4 linked regions of the Drosophila melanogaster genome follow. The protein of the gene in region 3 purifies or fractionates together with the protein of the main gene of each other region. This does not show direct contact. Each region holds a gene or a part of one and is shown on either strand. Other genes may lie near its edges.

Region 1 (4,745 bases), on a different chromosome or scaffold from region 3:
ACTGTTCCAGTCACAGATCCATTTGCAATCCCCGTTGGTATTCCACTCCACAATCCCACACCCAGCGTTCCGATAATCGATTTCGAGTGCGAAACTTGAGATTCGCAGCCCACGGTTATGCACCGCATCTGTTGCATCACTTTTCACCACCCCCAATCGCAGATAGTATCTATTTTTTCCGCCCGGTGATCACTAAACCATTGTCAATGACATCAAAGATGCCGAGAAATTCCAGAGAGGCAGCTTCCGTTTTTACCTGGTTGTTGCAGGAAGTGCAAAATGGTAACCCGAGTACCCCAAAGGTGGCAAGAAAACCAGAAAGCCTAATTATGACAGCAATAGAAATTGAGACATCACACTCAAATTACTATCTTGCAACAATGTATACTGATATAAAGCAAGTAACTGGTTACAAGTACAGTGAACTTTGATAAATGTTGCTTACTACAATATCAATTACAAAATCAAAGTTTAATGTAATTAATTGCCATTTTTAAAAGATCTGAATCCGGTTAAAAATTAAATACTAAAATCCGGAAAACATTCGGTTCGCCAAATGCATACAAAATTATAAGAAACATTAATTAAGTTATAAATCAAGTTACCGTTAAATCAAGTTCTACGATATTAGATCTGCTAAGTGAATTTGAGATTTATTAAACTCAAATGAAAGAAATTGCTTTGTTACACTTTTGTTTATTGGGCCACAAAATGTTTCGAAATAAATTTTATATTGAAATTATACAAGATTAAAACCAGATTACCCCTTTGAACAATTCCAGATTTATAGACCCTTTGTTTAAAATGCGAGCCGAACGTATAAATATGATACTAATAAGCAAGTTTTTTTTTTTTTTTAATTAATGGAATCAAAACAAAATCTAGTTGAATTTCCATTAGGTAGACTCAGAATTATTGATATTAGGAATCAGGTTCGACCAAAACTGCTGACTTCTGAAACTTGACAAACAAAACATAACGACTTTGATAGACATATGACCTTTCGTTGAAATCTATATTTTTGGGAACAACTTGCTAAGAAGCCCGAAGACTTTTTATCCAAATAAAACAAAAAAAAAACAAGAAAGGATTGCTAGTACGTTCTGCGGGATTTTCCCAATATAAATTTCAATTCAAGATTTAGTTAATTTATTTTATTTGCTTTTTATGTTCCCAAATTGATTTGATCACATTTGCACCCATATTTTATAAGCCACTTTCAAGTTGGCGGCTAAAGTCACCAATACACACAGAGAAAAGCCGCAATTGCGTGAGTATTGGTGGCATGCCAGTGTATTGGTGAGCGCTTCCGCTTGCAACTTTCCGTGCCGCACTAATACACACAAATATAACCAATACAAGCGCAAACCAAGCCGAACTCAGAGCTTTGAAGAGAGCAATTAGGCTGGTTTGTGGTGGGAAAAGCTTTTGGAAACCGCTGAGCGACTTGGTTTGGCGGTGTTTTCAGTTTCGTTTTGACACAAAAACTCTTTGGGGGTATAAAAGCGCGCCACTGACCACAGACAGCATCCAGTCAAAGGTTTGGAATCGCTAGTGATTCTACAATCCTTCCACAGTCTATTTCGCTGTTACTGAGTTGCTTGTAAGTGAAGCCAAATGCCAAGTTAATTTTTGTTTGTTTCTAAAATGCGTGTAGTCTATGTGAAACGGAAATAAAGTTTAAGCTGTGATCTAAAAGTTATAAACTAATAACTGTGCGAGCCGTGTGCTCTAAATAACTTCAATTTTCCAAGGAACATTTTCCCAAAGAACAGATTGTTAATACCAATTAAAGTGCTGATCTTATAAAAAAAAAAATATCTATGCTGCATTTCGTATAAATAATCTTATTGTTTTCTTTGTTTACTTACAGCCTTGGCAAGTCCCATTAGACTCCACAATGAAAGTATTCGTAAGTACAACAGACATATAGTAATTAGACATATAGAATTTAGTTTGATATGTAAATGGGTACGAGTATGTGAACTATCGCTGTTGGTAGCATATTTTAGTGTGAGAAATCAAGTAATAATTCAAAGAATTGCATACAGAACAATGCTGACATGAACTAATTGGAACAATATAGCCTTTTGCATTGCAAATGCCTCACATTGTTTACCTGGCCATCTTCAACAACAAACAACTTCCTGAAACAATTCAATCCGATAAATTTCCTTAATCAAAGGTGAAATGCTCGCAAACGACCAAATTCAACTTGAACGACATGGCTAATAAGCGTTTATTAACTGAACGATCATAATTGGAGTGCCAGCCACGTTTATTACCAGGCCGTAATCAACTGGGTTCATGTGCTCAATTAAAGCCAGCTCCAAATGCATTCGCTGAGTTGCCCACTGCGTATGCGTAACGTGACGCCAGTCGGTTGAGGCGTATTGCGGAAACTGGGCGTGGCAGTGGGCGATGACTGCACTGCATCATTTATGCCAGGCACGCACAAATTTCACTTGACCATTTGAATCGCGAAAGAGGGCGATGAGACAACGGACGACACAATGCGAATCGGGCCACATATCGCCTATCGCCTTCGCTTTCTATTGCGATTAGGTAATCGATCAAACTAGGCAATGGGTGATAAAAGTCAACGTTTTCGTTAGGCAATTTATGTAGGTTGCATATCTTGAATTGTTTTATCATAGAGAAGCTTCAAATACTTAAAGAATAGACTATACGAATTTCATGATAGATGAGTTTGCACAGTTGAGAATTCGAAGATAGTATGACTAAATTTTATTTCATTTCATTTTGAAATAGATTTAAACTATATTTGCAAGGAATCAAGTTCTACTTACTAACTTAGTTATTGTGAAATAAACTATTAAGAAATCACAAATATCTAGAATTTTGCTAGAAAATTAATATATTATTATTATTTAAAAGTCTCTAAAATGCATAGTTTCATAACCAATCGCACCAACTCAATTCTTTGCAGATCTGCTTAGCCGCTCTGCTGGTGGCCTCCGCCTGCGCCAGCAAAACCGAGGGTGAGAAGGTGCCGCTGGAGAAGAAGCTGGACAAGCGCGGCCTGCTCGATCTGGGCTACGGCTACGGTCATGCTGGTCTGGACACCGGCTACCTGGGACATGGTTCCATCTCCGGCCACGGAAGCTACGGACATGGCTACGGACTGACCGGATACTCCGCACCCGCTGCCGTCGCCGTGGGCCACAGTGGTCCCGCGATCGCCGTTGGACACACTGCTCCCGCCGTCGCTGTCCACCACGCTCCCGCCCCCTATGTGATCAGCAAGCAGGCCGATGTGCACAAGACCATCACCATCACCAAGGGAATCCCAGTGCCCGTGCATGTGGACCGCCCCTATCCCGTCGTCCATGAGAAGCGCGTGCCCGTCGAAGTTAAGGTGCCCGTGCCCCAGCCCTACGAAGTCATCCGCAAGGTGCCCGTGACCGTTAAGGAGTACGTCAAGGTGCCCGTGCCAGTGCCCCAGCCCTACGAAGTGATCCGTCACGAGAAGGTGCCCGTCCATGTGCCCGTCGATCGCCCAGTGCCCGTTGAGGTGCCCAGGCCCTACCCCGTGCCAGTGGCCAAGCCCTACCCTGTCTACGTGGAGAAGGCCGTCAATGTCCAGGTGCCCGTGCATGTGGATCGTCCCTACCCCGTCTACGTGAAGGTGCCCGTGGTGTCCCACTCCGTGGTCAAGCACGCACCCACCGTTGCCGTCAGCAGCTACCCTGTTAGCGCCATTGGCCACGATGCCACCGTCTACTCCGACCACCATGGTTACCACAAGTAAGCGGACGGAATGGACCGGAAGCAGGCGAATCTATTGGAGCGAGCGGACTTAATGGAAATGAGCCGAAGGATATCTAGCAACATTTTCAATTATCTTCCCCACTCTCTCCACCTGTCGGCCTTCCTTTCCAAAACCGAGCGCAGAAGCAAACTCTTAAAATACCCCCTGGAAGTCAAACTTCCGCCCTGCCACACTCTCTGTAGCTGATAAGAACCCCCAAGATGAAACAAGCAATGCCTTTTGTAAATTATTTCCAATCCAGCCATCCAATGGAAGCCATTGTGCTGGGCCAAGAACTCCAGGTTTAGGATAAATACCAGCTAACTGTTTGTAAATTTCGCCATTTATGAACAGTTTAGCTGGCCAAGTTTATCAGTGAAAGGTTTCGGCGCACAATGAATTGAATGGATAATAAGAACAGAAATATCTATGTGAAAATCTATTAAGGACAAATAAAATAAAATGTATAAAATAAATTTCACTGTCTTTATCACTGGTTAGCTGCTGGAAATAGTTTGTCATAGGGTTCTTTGTAATTGTATATCTTGTAAATATATTTTGTAAATAAAGAGTATGTTGTTATTAAACAGCTGTCGTTTTTGATTTGGTGGCTACTCAACATAAATAATATTTAAAAAATGTATTTTTACTAGACTTTTTGAGGATCATTTTCTGGAATATTTACAGCTCTCTAATAATATTTATTAAATAGACGGAATGGTTCAAAAACTTTATGTTCCGATCACTTTAATAAAAAGTTATACGAAGACCCTTTAATCTTGCAAGGTAACAAGTAGGATACCAGTAATTATTTCAAGCCAAGAGATGCGAATTATGCATACCTGTAATTAAGTACAGCTTAAGTTGTAATAAATCAATAATACTCAGTCACAATAAAAACAGATGTCTTGACGCCTTCCTGATCCTTAAACCCGAAAATCCTCTCACCAGTCAGTCAGCTGAGATGACATGA
Region 2 (6,322 bases), on a different chromosome or scaffold from region 3:
AATCATAGCTTATTCATAAGCCCTGCAAATCCAGTAAGTTATTATAATTTTTAAAAGCAATCTGCTTATTTGCCATCGCAAGCACTGCGGCTTCCATTAAGCCCATTATAATTATACTACAATTACCATTCCATCGACAGACAACAATCTCCCATCGCAGCACATTTAATGCACTATCATCGCACTGAACGGCAAAATCGAGAAGACCTTGAACTTGAGACGATTGCAAAGTAACTCCGAGAGCATCAGCACTCGCTTTATTTCCATTATAATTTTCCATTACACTGCCCTTTCCCTTTTTTTTTCGTGGTATAAACCTGGGGATATTTTGTATCTGCTTTTTTTTTTCTTCTTTTTGCCGCTGACAGCTGGCAGTTGAGTTATGAATGCTTTTAGTGGAGGTTCGCCGAAACTGAGTCAGTCGAGCAGTTCCAAAATCGGCAATAACAGAAACAATGTCCAACCGAAAGTGACCGCCGCGTGGTTTGCATTCCTGATATGGGACACGTACGGTGTCCGTCGTTTTTTTTTGTGGTCTACTTCGTCGGCGATTCTGTGGCCCCAGGGACCAACGACCGTCCTCGGTCTGGGCGCGCCAAATCCGTAGGCATCGCGACACATCCGGATTTTGTGTCTGTTTTTTATATTTTCATTTAAGTCTTAAACGGTAGCCGCATTATGCGTAGCTCAGAAGTTATCTCCTCTTGTCGAGTGATTAATTTTAATTTTTTTTTTTCGCTTTTATTGCTGAATAATTTTTATTTACTGCTTGCAATCGATAAATTTTTGTTGTTCGAAAAAGGGCATTTCATGTTGGCCATTCCCGTGCGGCCTGCAGTCGTTGACCGCTTTGAACTGACCTTGCCGCGCGAATTTTCGTTAATTTCAACTTTGTGGTCACCGCTTTGCTGCACTGGTCCGGGATGCTGTTGTTTATGTTTTTCAGACTTTTCTGGTTTTTATCGCCCATCAAGGTGATAGGTTTGCATATAAATGACGCTAGAACAAAAGACTTTGGCGACGAACTCGTGGTGACTAAACATGTGTACGAATTCACTGTGAGAGCAGTCAAAAGAATTGGTTTGCCCCAAGATATTTATTTTAATGGGAATGAATCATTGGACTGCGTAGCGGAAGTTTATTCGTAGCTAGGGAATCGATTATGATGAAGTCCGTTTGCCAATAAGCAAAAAAAAAAAACTAAACACCAGTTTTAAAAACCTTTTTCGAAGCATTTTTAACATAAAGTAAATATTTCAGTAGTTTAGATACTTCCTTTATAAATTGCATGCTGTAAAAATAGTTATACGACTTTAGAAGTTTTTCAGCCAGCTTTAAGCACCACATTTTTTTCCAAACACAGAATAATACTTTTTTAAATCCAAAGACTAAGTACATCGGCTAAACTCTAGAGAGCCTTACGTATAATGAATTACTGATTTTACAGCAATATTTACATTTTTGTTTATGTATGTTTTTATGGCTAATTTTGCACATCATAAAAGATTCACTACTAAGGCAAAGACAACAAGATCTAGCATACTGCGGCTGAAAAGTGGCTTTGGCGTCGACCAGCCAAATTTGCAACTGTCGAGATTCACAAGTCGGATGGATTGACTGGACATAAACAGAGATCACGGAGGCTAACTTGGTGATTTGGCTTGGCGTTGGTGCGTGGCACGGTAGTCGCTAGTAAAAATTCAATTAGCAAATTAAATATTAATTACCAGACGGGTCTCTATGCTAATTGAATTAGCAATAGTAGCAGCTGGCAAATAACTAAATAAAGGAAAAAGTATTGGGGGTTTTTAAGTTGGAATGCTGCGAAGATGGAGTTTTTGAGGATTCGTTTTAATATTATCCAATATTTGGCACCTATTTTTTCTGACATAATTGTTTAAATTAAAGAATGTTGTATGAAAAGTGGAAATTGCAATTTAAAATTTGAAATTTTGATATTATAACGATTGCATTTTTGATTATACAATGCAATTACGTTTCATTAAGTTTTATTTTGGTTTAATAATAAATGTCTCATTTTAACATACTACCTTATAAATAAATCTTTTGTTTTTATGTCCAGTAATGCATTATACATTAATATTTTAAGTGGGCCTTAATTTATATCAACCAAATTAAAATGTCAGATGATAAAATTACGTTTGAGAGTTTTATTTTGTTTCCTTTTTTGTAACAATGCAAGTTCTAATATTTTCGGAGCACAGCTGTTTATACTAATATTATTTCTCCTCGTGACAGGTGCCAATGCTATTCTCGCCCGGCTGATTAAAGTATATAATTTGCCGCTCGGCTGTGAATTTAGTGTGAGGCCAGGCCCAAGATGAACCAGTTTGCGGTTGGAAAGTGTGGCAGCCTAGAGTCGGACAAGGTCCCTGATCAGGAATAGCCCTGGCGATATAGCCCAAGTTCCCTGTCGGATTTTTTGATATTTTTTATTTTAATAATTTTTTTTTTGATTTTCTGACTTTCCGACATGACTGCTTCATAAATTCACACTCACTTAAGCCTGCAATTAGCGGTCGAGCAAAAAGCTCCCATCGCTTTGGAGCTTTGGCGCTCTGTTGCTCTCTTTTGGGAAGGTTTTGTCTTTTGCTCACCGCTCTCGGCGTTCAGTTGATCGACGGCAAGCTCTCGAAACGGACGCAGATTTTTGTAAGTCGCCGCCGCGCCTGCGCATTTTAAATCAGTTGCAACAAAAAAACAACGAGAGGCAGCGAAGACGAAATCGAATTGTGTTTTTATTTGTTTGCTTTTGTTTTGTCTGTGTGTTATGCCATGCACAAAACCACCGTGTTCGTAAAAGTGGAGAAAAATCAAAAATCGAAAATTCAAGCCGAAATAAGTTTGCCAAAACAAAAAGAAACCGCAAAAGCCGCGTTATAATAACGCAAATAACGGTATTAAGTTTGAAGCTCATCTAGTTATTTATGCTTTGCTCCTCGTGGTTGTCTGCAAAAATAAAACAAAAAAGCTTAAAACAAACAACAGTGTCGAAAAACCTTAACAATTTGCGCGCACATAAAATATAATTAAAGCCAGCAAATTTTTGCCTTAAACATAAAAAAGTTAATCAACTTGGTTGCAATTAAATGTTGCAATTTATTTTTTTGCAACTAAAGTGCGAAATATTCAGTGCAATACAATAACAAAAATAAATAAGTTTCTCTGAAGCAATACAAATAAAAGTTTCTCTGTAGAAATATAAATAAAAAAATACCAAAATCCATATTATCAAAAATTCAATAAGATATGTAAATAAATAGTTTGGTATACTCAAGCAAAAATAGAATGCTGAACAATGGATAATAAATTATTTATTTTTTTGGGTAACAAACTGATTGCCGAGACTTAAAAGACACCGAGAACTAAAAATAAAATATGATAGATCAAACAAAAAAATTCCCAAACATCTAAAGAGGGAGTCCGCCATTCCTCAAACGTATGTGTGATGGGTGTATGTGTGGGTGGGAGCGGGAAAATTGTGTTGGTAATTTCTAATGCACATTTTCCCTTTAGTATTACCCAACACAATGTTTTATTACCCTTACAGGAGTAACAGGAGTAACTAAACCTTTGATATTTCGATATTTATTAAAACATGAAAAAGAAAATTGATTATAACAACTTCCAGCAATTTTAAACCTTTTTTTTGTATTTTCCGCGAAAGCGTACATAAAGAGCGTATTTTTTTTAATACCCCTTCCTTTTACTGTATTTTCCTGCCTGCCCTTTTAGTTGTCGTTGAATTTGTATGACGTGTGTGCATCAGGTTGATTTTTGTGATGCGTTTTGCCTATGTAATTTCCATGTCAGGCGTTGGGATTACTTCATCTCCCGTTTCATTTCCTATATGGCCAGATGATTCAAACCAAACTGACCAGCGCAAAAATGAAAACAAAAACTACTGCTACAAAAAAACTAAAAAAAAAAGTTGCACGAAAAAGCCGGTTGAAGGCAACTCTTACATATTTACACGCACCAGCGCTCATTGAACACACGCCGCCAGCAGCAACAACAAAGCTAGCACGGGAAAAAATTGTTTTAAACAGTTACTAATATTTTTATTAATATATTAGTAAGGATTATATTGATAAATAACAGTACTACAAAAAGTAATATCAAGATATTCATAATATTCATATATGACATAAATCATACAATTCCGAGTAATTATTTTCTCTCACTGCATTACAGCAACAGCAACAAAAGCAATATCAACAGGGCGACACAGAAACCTGTTGTTGTAGCTCTTGGTGCCTCTCTTGCTGTCTCTGTCTCGTCAAAAGACATTTGCAGAGTTTCCAGCTGCGTGTTGATTATGTCAATTTCATGTTTACTTCATTTCCTCAATCCACCGGCAAAGGTGTTAGAGAGAGGGGTATAGTGGGCGGAAAGGGGTGCGCCAGCAATTTCACTTTCGTTGGACTTGAAAATAAAAGCTGCAGTCTCTGTGGCAGTGTGAGCGAGTGCGAGAGAGAGAGAGAGAGAGAGATTATTGGAGCAAGATGGAAGGAGGTTGGAGCTTGGGAAAGAGAGCAAGTGAGAGTGAGAGTGCGCACAGCAAGTGTGCTGCATACGGTACTTGGATGCTGGTGCTGCTGATGCCTCACTTGCTTTGTGGGGCGTTGCTGCACCGTGGGTTATTGCTATTTAATGTTCTTGAGCATAAAATTGTGGATCGTGACTTTGGGCTCAGCAAATAATTCGTTTCACTAATCCGTATTGTTTCATATATAATATATTTTAAAAACCAGGTGACTAGTCACAATAACTAACTAACTGACTAGTTACAATAAAAGTTTTACCCAATTTTTTCAGATATTATGATGAAATCTTAAAAGAAGTGATACCAATTAGAATGGCTAAGCTCTGAGATATTTGAAGATTATTATTATTATTTTTGTTTATGAATTGTTATACTCTCAGTTTTCATATTTGCTTGAAAAGTTAGTTTGTTGATGTTTTAAGAACAATTATATGAATTTTGCAATGTTCATACGTCAATATAAGGATTATTATGTTACCATCCTTTTAATAACTGTACCACTGTGCGCCGGCGTCTTTTGTGTGCTACTCGTCGCATATTTTCCGTTTCGTTTTGTAACTGTAATGTCTGTTTTTCCCATTGTCCGATTGTTGCTGGTTGTCGCTTTTGTTTTGCGCTTATAACGTAATAACGTAATGTGCTCGAAGATTTCCACATGCGATGCGTCGCACCTTACGTTTTGGTGCCAAGTCCATCGCCGACGTCGACGTTCATTGTTTTTGCAGGCAATTGAGCCAATAAACTGACGCGAATCGTAGCGACTTACAAATTCCTGTCCGAAAAATATGCGAAGGTCAACCAGAGGGGCAGCACCAACAACCACAACGATATCGAATCCATAACAAAATAGTTGAGAACTCCCGCAAGTGGAGTTTCATACGAGTATGTTTGGTATTCGCACCTTCAAACATGATTTCACGGACTGTCAGCTTGGCAAAAATTCTAATTATAAATGAAACAATTTATTACCGGGTTTTTAAAATAAAATGCAATTTATGTGCAAAGTCTGGCGGCGGCGGCGGACTTGACTAGTTAAACCGGTTGACTGCCAGCAGCAGCAGCAGCAATGAAAAAAAATGGAAAAAGAACCATTGACTCAATGGGGGTGCAGTCAGCAACAGCAAATTGCAACTGCAAGGAAAACATTTTTCTTAAATATACGGAATTAATTAATAGAAGTTAAACAAAGGATAATTTCTTTAATAAATTCTAAACATTTATTTATTACGGCAGTGGTGAATTCGACAAAAAAAATTATAATTTAACCAAATGTATTTATTTGAAATCTATAAATTACATCTATATAATAAAACAAAAGCTTCGTTATATAACTCAGCAATAAATCTACTAAGTGCAATGTATAAAAAATCCTAATGAACATGTAGTTCAAAAATAACTCTAATAAATTTATCTCGAATAAATCAAACCGTTTAAAATCAAATAATTGAATACATGTTCACAGCTGTGAAAACAAGAATATTTTCGGCAAAATATTTCAACAAGCATAACCGATGTGTGTGTAAAATTTGTGCCTGTCTATATTATTTAATTCATTAATCATAAATGCAAATTTCTTGATTGTTTAGATACGTCTTAACGGCTAACTCGAAGCTATAAATTGGACATCAAAATTGGATTATACAAAAATAAAAAAAAATAACAAAGTGAACACGAAAAGTTAATAACAATTATTTTGTATGCCGGTTTCTTCTTGACAAGTTTGGTAAGTGAACTTTAAGACTTGATGAATGAGAC
Region 3 (4,523 bases):
AAAACAATTAAAAAAAAAAAACGAAACCGAAACCGAGCTCGATTCCTACATAGCCGAGTCCCAAAGACCGGGTTCAAGCCGGTCTGGCCAACTTTTGAGTGAGGTGCGTGCGAGTTGGCAACGAACGAAAGCCGGGCCAAAACGGCAGCTGACTGGGCGGCGGACAGATGGTTGCTCAGACGGATGGACGGACGGATAGACAGACGGACAGCAGCAGCAGCATTTGGCGCTGACCTTGAAGACGTAAATGTGAAGACGCATCTACATAAATATCTATTGTATCTCCGGCTCTTTCTGTCTGGCATCGGGCATGAGGCATCTGGTATTTGTGTATTGAAAGCGACAGTACGAACAAGATCAAAGCTGAAAAACCTGTCGATTGCCATTTGATCAGAACAGTTATGTAAATCACGGTCTATAATAAAGAACACAGCCCCAAGTTTGTCGAATTTTAACCAAAGATAGACAACGCCCCCGCGCACAGAGGCAATCATTCCGATTAGCACTCGAAGCCATCGATCACAGCCAGATTAATTATGCAAAGCCAGCATGATAAATGCAGCTCGATGCAGATGCCCTCGAAAAGCTGCGGAAAAGACCCAAATAATAAATATTATGCAGCCACGAATCAGATCCATTTTCAAGGGCCCCGAATGCCCTCAAGTTCAATTTGTAGGCGGACTGGGTAAATAAATCAGGCTGAAATTTCATGGAAACCACATTGTATATGAACTTGCTTAGTATTAAACTTAAGCGCTTAAGTTTGATGTTTCATGTGACATTTTATTTGTAAAGATTTCAATCATGCAAAAACCCATCGTTTTTTCTCTTCTTTAATATACTTGTCTTTCTCGTTCAATTAACATATTAACAACTTTTCCATTTGCGGTCTAATCAGAAAATTATAGTTACACATTTGACTAACAATAAGTAATTTTCACACTGTATTAATGTAATGCAATTTTGCTGAATAAACAATGACAACAGAAATTTGTTGAGTCTGCTTTTGCTTTTGATTGCAAAGACGCTTTGCTTATTTGATGCGTTCTTTACATGTTATATGGACAATATTATTTGATTGATAACATTCCTCGGATGTCACCAATTCCATGATTTTTAACGAGCAAGTTAAGAATGGCAAAATGCCAAATTGCAGCTGCCAAAAAATCAACCAAAATGATGTGATTTTCAACGACATTTGAGGAAATGCCAGTATCAGTGCACAACACCCTGTCGATGGGTCAGACATTAAGTCACAATTGGCACAATTCAATTCAAGTGGAGGAGGAGGCTGGGGCAGAACCGTGGTTGACCAGAGGCCGACCGATAACCAAAGTTAAAACCCGACTGACCGGCTTGAAAGATCCGCTGCTGGGGCTTCTTCATCGGCCTGCTAGCGGTCAACGAAGGTGGCATAAATTGGCAAGCACCGGCGACGGCGACTTAAAAACTAAATTAAAAAAAAAATGCTAAAAGTACAACAAAAAGCAAGAGTCAGAGATTTAAATTGCATGCGAGCCGTAGTTGTAGGTTATTCGATGTATTTTTTATATATATTTCCAACTGCTTTTGGCTCTTGTTACCGGGCAGGCACATCAATCGAGCGCTGTAAAGGCCGTTGCATATGCCAAAAGTCAACCTGCGGTTCCATCTCCATCCACAGCCTCATCCATCGTGCACTTTGGCCATCACACATGGCTCAGCTCGTGTTCTTCGTGTCCGCGGCTTGAACTTGCTGCCCTGCCAATTGGCGGCGACAGCACTTGAACTTAGTCTCTTTTGGGCCACCAATATGTCGTCGATTTCGGTTCGATCTGGGCCCATCTGACGAGCTGTTCTGGTTATTGTTTCCCATAGTTCTTGGCCCGGTATTTCCCCGTAGCTGCCCAATCAAACCGCAACCTTTTCCCCAATGCATCTGCTTGATTCATGAACTTTTTCGAGTTTTCTAAAGCTACCAGTCGGCACTGACAGAAAATGTCAGTACATCTTAAATGTGGTATTATATTCAAGTAATTGTTTTGTTTATTTCAATTAAGATTTAAGTACTTAATGAGTTGCACTAAAACTTCGAAAGGTGGTTTTAGTGTGGGTGTAAAACGAAAGATATTCGAATGATTAAGTGTTATAGGTTTAAATAAATATTTTTTATGTTCTAACTACATTAGTTTTAACATGCTTATTTTTATGTTTGGTTTCTTGTTAAAAATATGAAGACATATTGATTGTGGATAACTATTCTCACAGAATCGCCCTGAAACTTAGAATGCTTTTTCGAGTGTGGGTGAAGAGCAATAATACCTTTCGGATGAGTACACCGCTGCACAAAGCCGCTTTAAATGTTACTTGTCGCAGCGACTTTGGCGACTTTGGTGCAACGCTGGCAATTGAAAAACAGCACAAAAAAAACAAAAACAAAATGGAAATAGTGGAAAACATTTAGCCGGCGACCGCCAGAGCTGCTGAACTAGCGAGCTGCTTGGCTTCTTCCACAATTGTGCAAATTTATGACGTTTGCAAATGCAGCCGCGAGTGCAGTATAAAATGCAGTGGACGCCGATGCAACGCCACCATTAGACAACTGCCAGTTTGTCCAGCCGCATAGGAGAATCTGCAATTTCGAGAACCGCTCAACATGATGAAATTGGTAGGTGAACTTGGATAAACGAGGCGCACCATGCCCAACCAGGATACGCAAAAGGATACCTAATCTCTTACCGCCTTGCAGATGCTAGTCGTTGGCTCGATAGCCCTTCTCCTGGCCCTGGCCAGTGCCCGGCCGCAAAATGATGTGGAAGTTCTTGAGTACGAATCGGAGAACACCGGCCTCGGCGGCTACAAGTTCAGCTACAAACTGAGCGATGGCACCAGTCGAACAGAGGAGGGCGTGGTCAACAACGCGGGCACCGACAACGAATCCATATCCATTCGGGGATCCGTCACCTGGGTGGCTCCCGATGGCCAAACCTACACCATTAACTTTGTGGCCGACGAGAACGGTTTTCAGCCGGAGGGTGCCCATCTGCCCAAGTAGACCTCCGCTTTCGAGGAGATCCTGTAAATACCACCTTCCCGAATGAACCCACAATTCCAACCAACCAGCCATACAGTGAGGTGCTAAGGTCCTGTCCGGAGGAGCTGTCCCTTGTCCCGTGGCAGCCAATCGGTCAGTCAGTTAGTAAGTCGATCAGTCAGTCAAGTCAGTGTCGTGCATTGTTTTCTATTTTCCTTGTTACTCGCATTAAAGCCGAACTTTCGATTCTCGAAAAAAATATGTTTTCTTTGTGGAACCCATAAAGTAAGTCACCAGTTCTGGGAAGGGTCATTCAAAATATGAAACTGCACTAGATAACTTTCCTTTATAATTATAACGAAGTACCAGAGTTATTTTCTATTTTATCGTATTTAGCTATGAAAATTCACACTTTTATTTCTTTTGATTCAAAATGATCAATATACAAGATGTTCCATCTAAAAAATTTACGAAGGTACTAATCTTAAAAATATTTTTAAGGAACATAACAATTGGTTTTATTCTTTATTTAAACTGAGCTACGATAAAAGGTTATTCAGTATTATGGTTTCTGAGCCTATTTCGATTTAATGACTTGTTTTTCCAATTGATTTCTAGTTTTCAACTAGAAGACCTTTTTAATTACCATCATACACCGATTTATAGGTGGGGAATATCCTCGCCCTGGGGTTGGAATCCGTTCTCATCGGCCACGTAGCTGATGGCATGCGTCTGTCCGTCGTCTCCTACGAAGCTGAAGGATCCGGCCACCTGCAAGGCATCCTCCTCGGGACCAAGGCTCTTCAGGGAGCCGTGCTGCTCCTGCTTGGTGCCATCGCTTGTCTCAAATTTGTAGCTATAGCTATCGGCATTGACATCGGACACCAGGTCAACAATCTCTGCATCCGGAGCGGCAGCAGCTAGGCACAGGGCACTTAAAAGGCAGGCGAGCACAAGGATGGATTTCATCTTGAATAGTCAAAAATTACTCAATATTCAAAATGCCAGATTGCAGGAGTCTTTTATACGATTGCTAAGACAGCTTATGCAATTAGCACTTTGGGACAAGTCGTTAACATTATATAGCCGACGCGATCTGAGGACAGCAGGTGTTAATTGAACTTCTGTTCAATTTATTTATTAAAAATCTAATACTCAAAAAGAAAATTCAAGATTTTTTAATAAGCGGAATAAAGTTGTAAAACAATTAAACTCTAAAGATTTTCTCCAAACGCCTTTCAGACAATTACAATATATTAAAATTAAATTTTGCATATAAACCAGGCTTCTAAACTTTTCGTTTAAATTTCGATCCACATATTTATTAGCTCAAACTATAGATTTCAAGTTTTAAGCTTAGCTTAGCCGAAACTAGTTTTGATTGCTGTAGCGCGTGCTTTTGCCCAAAGAGTTGAACTATAAATAAACTGAGAATACGCCCTAAACAGTATAGTAATCATTGAGTCTTCAACGATCTACCACGTCTTCAATATGAAATTCGCCATCGTCC
Region 4 (4,407 bases), on a different chromosome or scaffold from region 3:
GGCCTACTCACTAAATTTACAGTTTTAAAAACATTGTTTGCGAACAATTACTTGACGCACTGTAATGCAATTCAGAATAATTCCCAAAATTTATAATAAATAAATAAATCATTGCATAGTTGTGGGAATATCCTTTGACTAAAATAAGCTGTATTAATCCACTTAAGAGTAACTCCACACCCCCTCATAAAAATTAATAAATATCCATAAATATATAATATATATATATATTATATATAAATATATAATATGTAAATATATAATATGTAGTCCTTTATGGCTACGTTTTAACTTGACAGATATATAACTTCTGTAAAAAAATGTATTTATTCCAAAATAGCAATGCAGCAATACAAATTAAGCTTTCAGCTTAAACAAAAGGCTCATTAAGTGAAAATACCCTATATACCTTAAAAATATCCTATCGAACTTCTATCTTTTTTTTTTTTAATGGAAAGCCCAGTATTTCTGAAAGTACAAGTCTTAAGTTTTTTTTTTTTAATTTTCGTTTTATTTACATTATTTAAATATGTACAAATATTTCATAGAAAAGAAATTTACGTGAAAAAGTCGAAGGAGCAACTCGTCAGCAGTTATTTCTCTGTGATTGTCTACAAAAGAACTGTACACTCGATGGATTTGGATGCCAGGAGACAGGCACTTTTCAAACGCCCCGGATGGGTTTTGGCAAGCTTTCTATAATGGATTGCGTCAGTTGTGTGATTTTCTCCTGGTTCCGATCCTTCCAGAATTTCGGTTGGTATCACAAACTAAAACTAAATTTGTAAGTCGTACGTTGGCGGTTGCTGGGCGTGGAAAGAGAGGGAGGGGTGCTTGATTCTTAATGTCTGTTGGATACTTTCGACTTGTTGGTTGGTTCGCTCGCCTTCACCCGACTTCACTTCTCGCTTGGCCCTCGACAGCATTGCGATTTCATCTACTTTTTGTGGAGGTAGCCACCGTGGGCGGAGCCGCCGTAGGAGGAGCTGCCGTAGGAGGAGATTCCGTGTCCGGAAATTCCGTATCCGGAGATTCCGTGTCCGGAGTAGCCGTGGCTGATGATGGCAGGAGCAGCGGCAACGGTGTGGGTGACGGCCACGGCGGGCTTGACGTGGCTCTCAACGTGGACAGGCACGGGCACGGCCACCTTGTAGGGCACTGGACGCTCCACATGGACGGGCACCTTGTGGATCACACGCTTCTCGACGGTGTATGGCACGGGCTTCTCCACGGGCACGGGGTATGGCTTGTCGACATGGACGGTGTAGGGACGATCAACTGGGATCTTCACGGGCACACGGATCACCTTCTCGACGGGGTAGGGCTGGGGCACCTCGACGGGCACCTTCACGATCTGCTTGACGGGCACATGGACGATCTTCTCCACGGGGTAGGGCTGGGGCACGGGCACCTTAACGGGATAGGTGACGGTCTTCTCGACGGGGTAGGGAACGTGACGCTCCACCTGGTAGGGCACCTGCACGGTCCTCACCACGGTGTTGGTGTGCACCTGGGTGGGCAGCTCAGCGACAGCGGGAGCCACTGGAACTCCAACACCGATGCCGGATCCCAGAATGGCGCCTCCCGCCGATGGTCCGTATCCGTAGCCCAGACCGTGGCCAATGCCGCGCTTCTCCTGCTTCTTCTCGGCGGGCTCGGCGGTCTCGACGGCCTTCTTGGGTGCCTCCTCACTGGCGTTGGCCACCAGCACGCACATCGCCACAAGGCCGAAAATGAGCTGCAATGACAAGTGGGTTAAATTCGATAGAAACCCAATTGGCTTGGTCGGGCGGTTATGCAACTGCAGCCGCTTCCGGCTCCACCTCCGCCCGATTACTCCATAATTTGGAATATGACAATTATGCAATGTTGGGTGGAAAGTTGGCTGGGCAACCAGCCAAGTTCAATTGTGGCCTAGGCCCCCTGACATATTGGGCATGCGGCGTATACTTAATGTGGCTTGATATTTTCGCAATAATTCGGTTAAAATACAAATTGGAAGAAGGCAAATTCAACTCTTTGTAGTTTCGCGTTCAAAGCTTTTTAATACGAATCTACATTTTTGTTTTCTTTTTTAAATGCTAAAAACATATTCTAGGACTGCCTATCCTTTTCGGGTTAAAATGATCCTTAACACTTTTCGATTTTAGTAATTATGAAATGTGATTTCTTTCAATAAGATTTAAATGTAGAACTGGTAATGGAAAAATTAAATATTTCAATTAGTTTTCTCTCTAAAAATCCTTTCTTAAAACCATGTTCATATTTACTTGGGTAAACCAAAATGCCACAAAAAAGTAACATATCTAGAGACATTTTAGAATATCCGTTCTATCCTTGCTTTTGAAAGAGCTGATGAAGTCGTGCAAAAACCTTTTTAAAAATACTTTAATTGCAACACCGATATGTCTACATTGTTCCATAAATATATATATATATATTCTTTTGCAAGTCACTTTAACTGAATCCGAGTTTTTGAAACACAATTATTCTAAGCAGCACTTCGAAGGAGAACACACTGAGCTCAGACCGAACATACCATGGATTTCATTTTGCACTAGGTTAGCTCCTCAACACTTTGCGATCAAGATGGGCTTGTATGTCTCAACCAACCCGCAACAGTTAACTGAATAATTTCGCACAGACGCAGCGAGCTTTTATATGGCCGATGCTGTGGCGGGATTGTCTTCAGCCGCGGCTGCGCAGTCGACGTGAATCGAGATCGCAGCAGCCGTGTTGAAAAAGCTCGCTCTCCATCCGTTCGACAGCTCCTCTCTCTCTTGGCCAACTGTCCGTGTGAGCCCGTGGCCCAAAGGAAATGCGTCAGCAAGCGAGCTTTTTCGAAAGAGGGTGCCTCACACGGACAGTGTCCATGTTGTCCGTGTGATCTGCGCCTGTATGAGTGCGTATCTGTGAACACTCGAGCTCCAACTGTAGCGATCTTTGGGAACTACTGAAAGTATTCAGACACCAAGTAACTGGGGGCACAGTTTAGTAGAAAGAATCGTTTCTTGCCAATAGCCAACATAACAAACATAGCAAATGGGTAATTTCGTTTAATTTTGCCTTAATCTACCAAAGAGATCCAATCAATTCTTTTGGAGAATCGCTCTTAATTGTACAGTTCAAACAATATAGACTTTTTTAATCATATACGTATGAATTTTAATCAACGACTTTAGAGTTTTAGAGTCTCAGAGTTTGTTTCTAGAATATTCGAAAAGTGATAAATTTTGTATTGTTAAAATTTTAGTAAACAGCTTTAAAAGTCCTTAGAAAGTTTATGTAATTTTAGATCGGAGCCCTTCCTCCGACGTCTTTTTGCGCAGTTAGTATTGTTATATGTAGCCATTATTATATTATCATTTTCCCTTTGTACAAATATATCTTATTAATATATTTTTTGTAAAAATCTCACATAAATACATGAAGTGTTAGTGTTTGTTTCCCAGGTAAAATTACATTAATGAACACGACAAATAAAATAAACTACTTGTATTTCTTACCATTTTACATAAATCTTTGGAAATCAACACATTCGAAAAGAACATTAATTATAAACATAATAATTATTCAATTAAAAATTAAATATTAACAAAGTTAAAAATGAACATAAAGAGTTTAAAATTTATGGACCATAAATAAATGAGTAATTTTTGGCTGGTAACGAAACCTTCATAATTATTAAAAAATATATACATTAAAAAAGAGATCACAAATACTTTTCTAATGCATAATTTTGACTAGTCCTTAGTGTTGGGAAATTTTTGCCCCAAAGCCTTGAGCCATTAATAAATAACTGACCGCGAGCACTTCAGTCACATAATCAAATTAGACACAACGGGCAAAGTGTTCCACAGCCATAAGTTAAATTCACATTAGCCACACATTTCCGAAAATTTCAGGTTACAAATCCAGTTGCAGTTGCAGTTGCATATTGAATGTAAATTGCTTGGCTGCAGAAGAAACATGCGCCGCATAGTCTGCTTGATTCTGTGTGGCTTCGTGACTGAACTTTTGATCTCGGATTTGTGTTTGGCTCCGTATTCTTGTTTGCTTCGGTTTTTTTTTCTCAGCTTTTTGGCCAGGCTGAGCGGCGTTTTAAGCCTTGATATGGGTGCATTGATTGAATGCTGTGGCAGTGTGGGTAATTTGACATTTTAATGCTGCAGAGGAAATACTCGCCAATGGCCATGTAAATGGAACGTGTGAACAATGAGTGGACCGCAAAACGCGCACAAAGGAGAACAGATACGGGCACCAAATCATGTTGGTTTTATGTGCATTAATTTAATTGTGGACATAACGCCGCGGACATAATGGCAACCGAGCGTATTAGGCTTTGTAATGTGCAGTTGAAGGCGAAGGTCGCCAGACATCATCGCCATGATCAACACCACGATCATC

Evidence for each region.
Region 1: the proteins of Acp65Aa (region 3) and Vajk3 purify together in Drosophila melanogaster (affinity purification with mass spectrometry, with the first as the bait; one large-scale study listed by BioGRID). This does not show direct contact.
Region 2: the proteins of Acp65Aa (region 3) and mol purify together in Drosophila melanogaster (affinity purification with mass spectrometry, with the first as the bait; one large-scale study listed by BioGRID). This does not show direct contact.
Region 4: the proteins of Acp65Aa (region 3) and Vajk2 purify together in Drosophila melanogaster (affinity purification with mass spectrometry, with the first as the bait; one large-scale study listed by BioGRID). This does not show direct contact.

Annotation. Positions count from the first base shown.
Region 1 is NT_033779.5:13,944,256-13,949,000, reverse strand, and holds Vajk3 (Vajk3), read left to right. Parts: upstream 1-1,524; 5' UTR 1,525-1,603; intron 1,604-1,873; 5' UTR 1,874-1,900; coding exon 1,901-1,912; intron 1,913-2,950; coding exon 2,951-3,772; 3' UTR 3,773-4,245; downstream 4,246-4,745.
Region 2 is NT_033779.5:14,993,867-15,000,188, reverse strand, and holds the start of mol (moladietz), read left to right. Parts: upstream 1-2,629; 5' UTR 2,630-2,673; exon of another isoform or gene 2,674-3,475; intron 3,476-6,153; 5' UTR 6,154-6,290; intron 6,291-6,322.
Region 3 is NT_037436.4:6,150,792-6,155,314, reverse strand, and holds Acp65Aa (adult cuticle protein 65Aa), read left to right. Parts: upstream 1-2,569; 5' UTR 2,570-2,635; coding exon 2,636-2,647; intron 2,648-2,728; coding exon 2,729-3,034; 3' UTR 3,035-3,265; downstream 3,266-4,523. Other genes in the region: Lcp65Aa, read right to left, coding at 3,674-3,982; Cpr65Ax2 (cuticular protein 65Ax2), read left to right, coding at 4,505-4,523.
Region 4 is NT_033779.5:13,932,059-13,936,465, forward strand, and holds Vajk2 (Vajk2), read right to left. Parts: upstream 2,635-4,407; 5' UTR 2,552-2,634; coding exon 2,540-2,551; intron 1,739-2,539; coding exon 938-1,738; 3' UTR 501-937; downstream 1-500.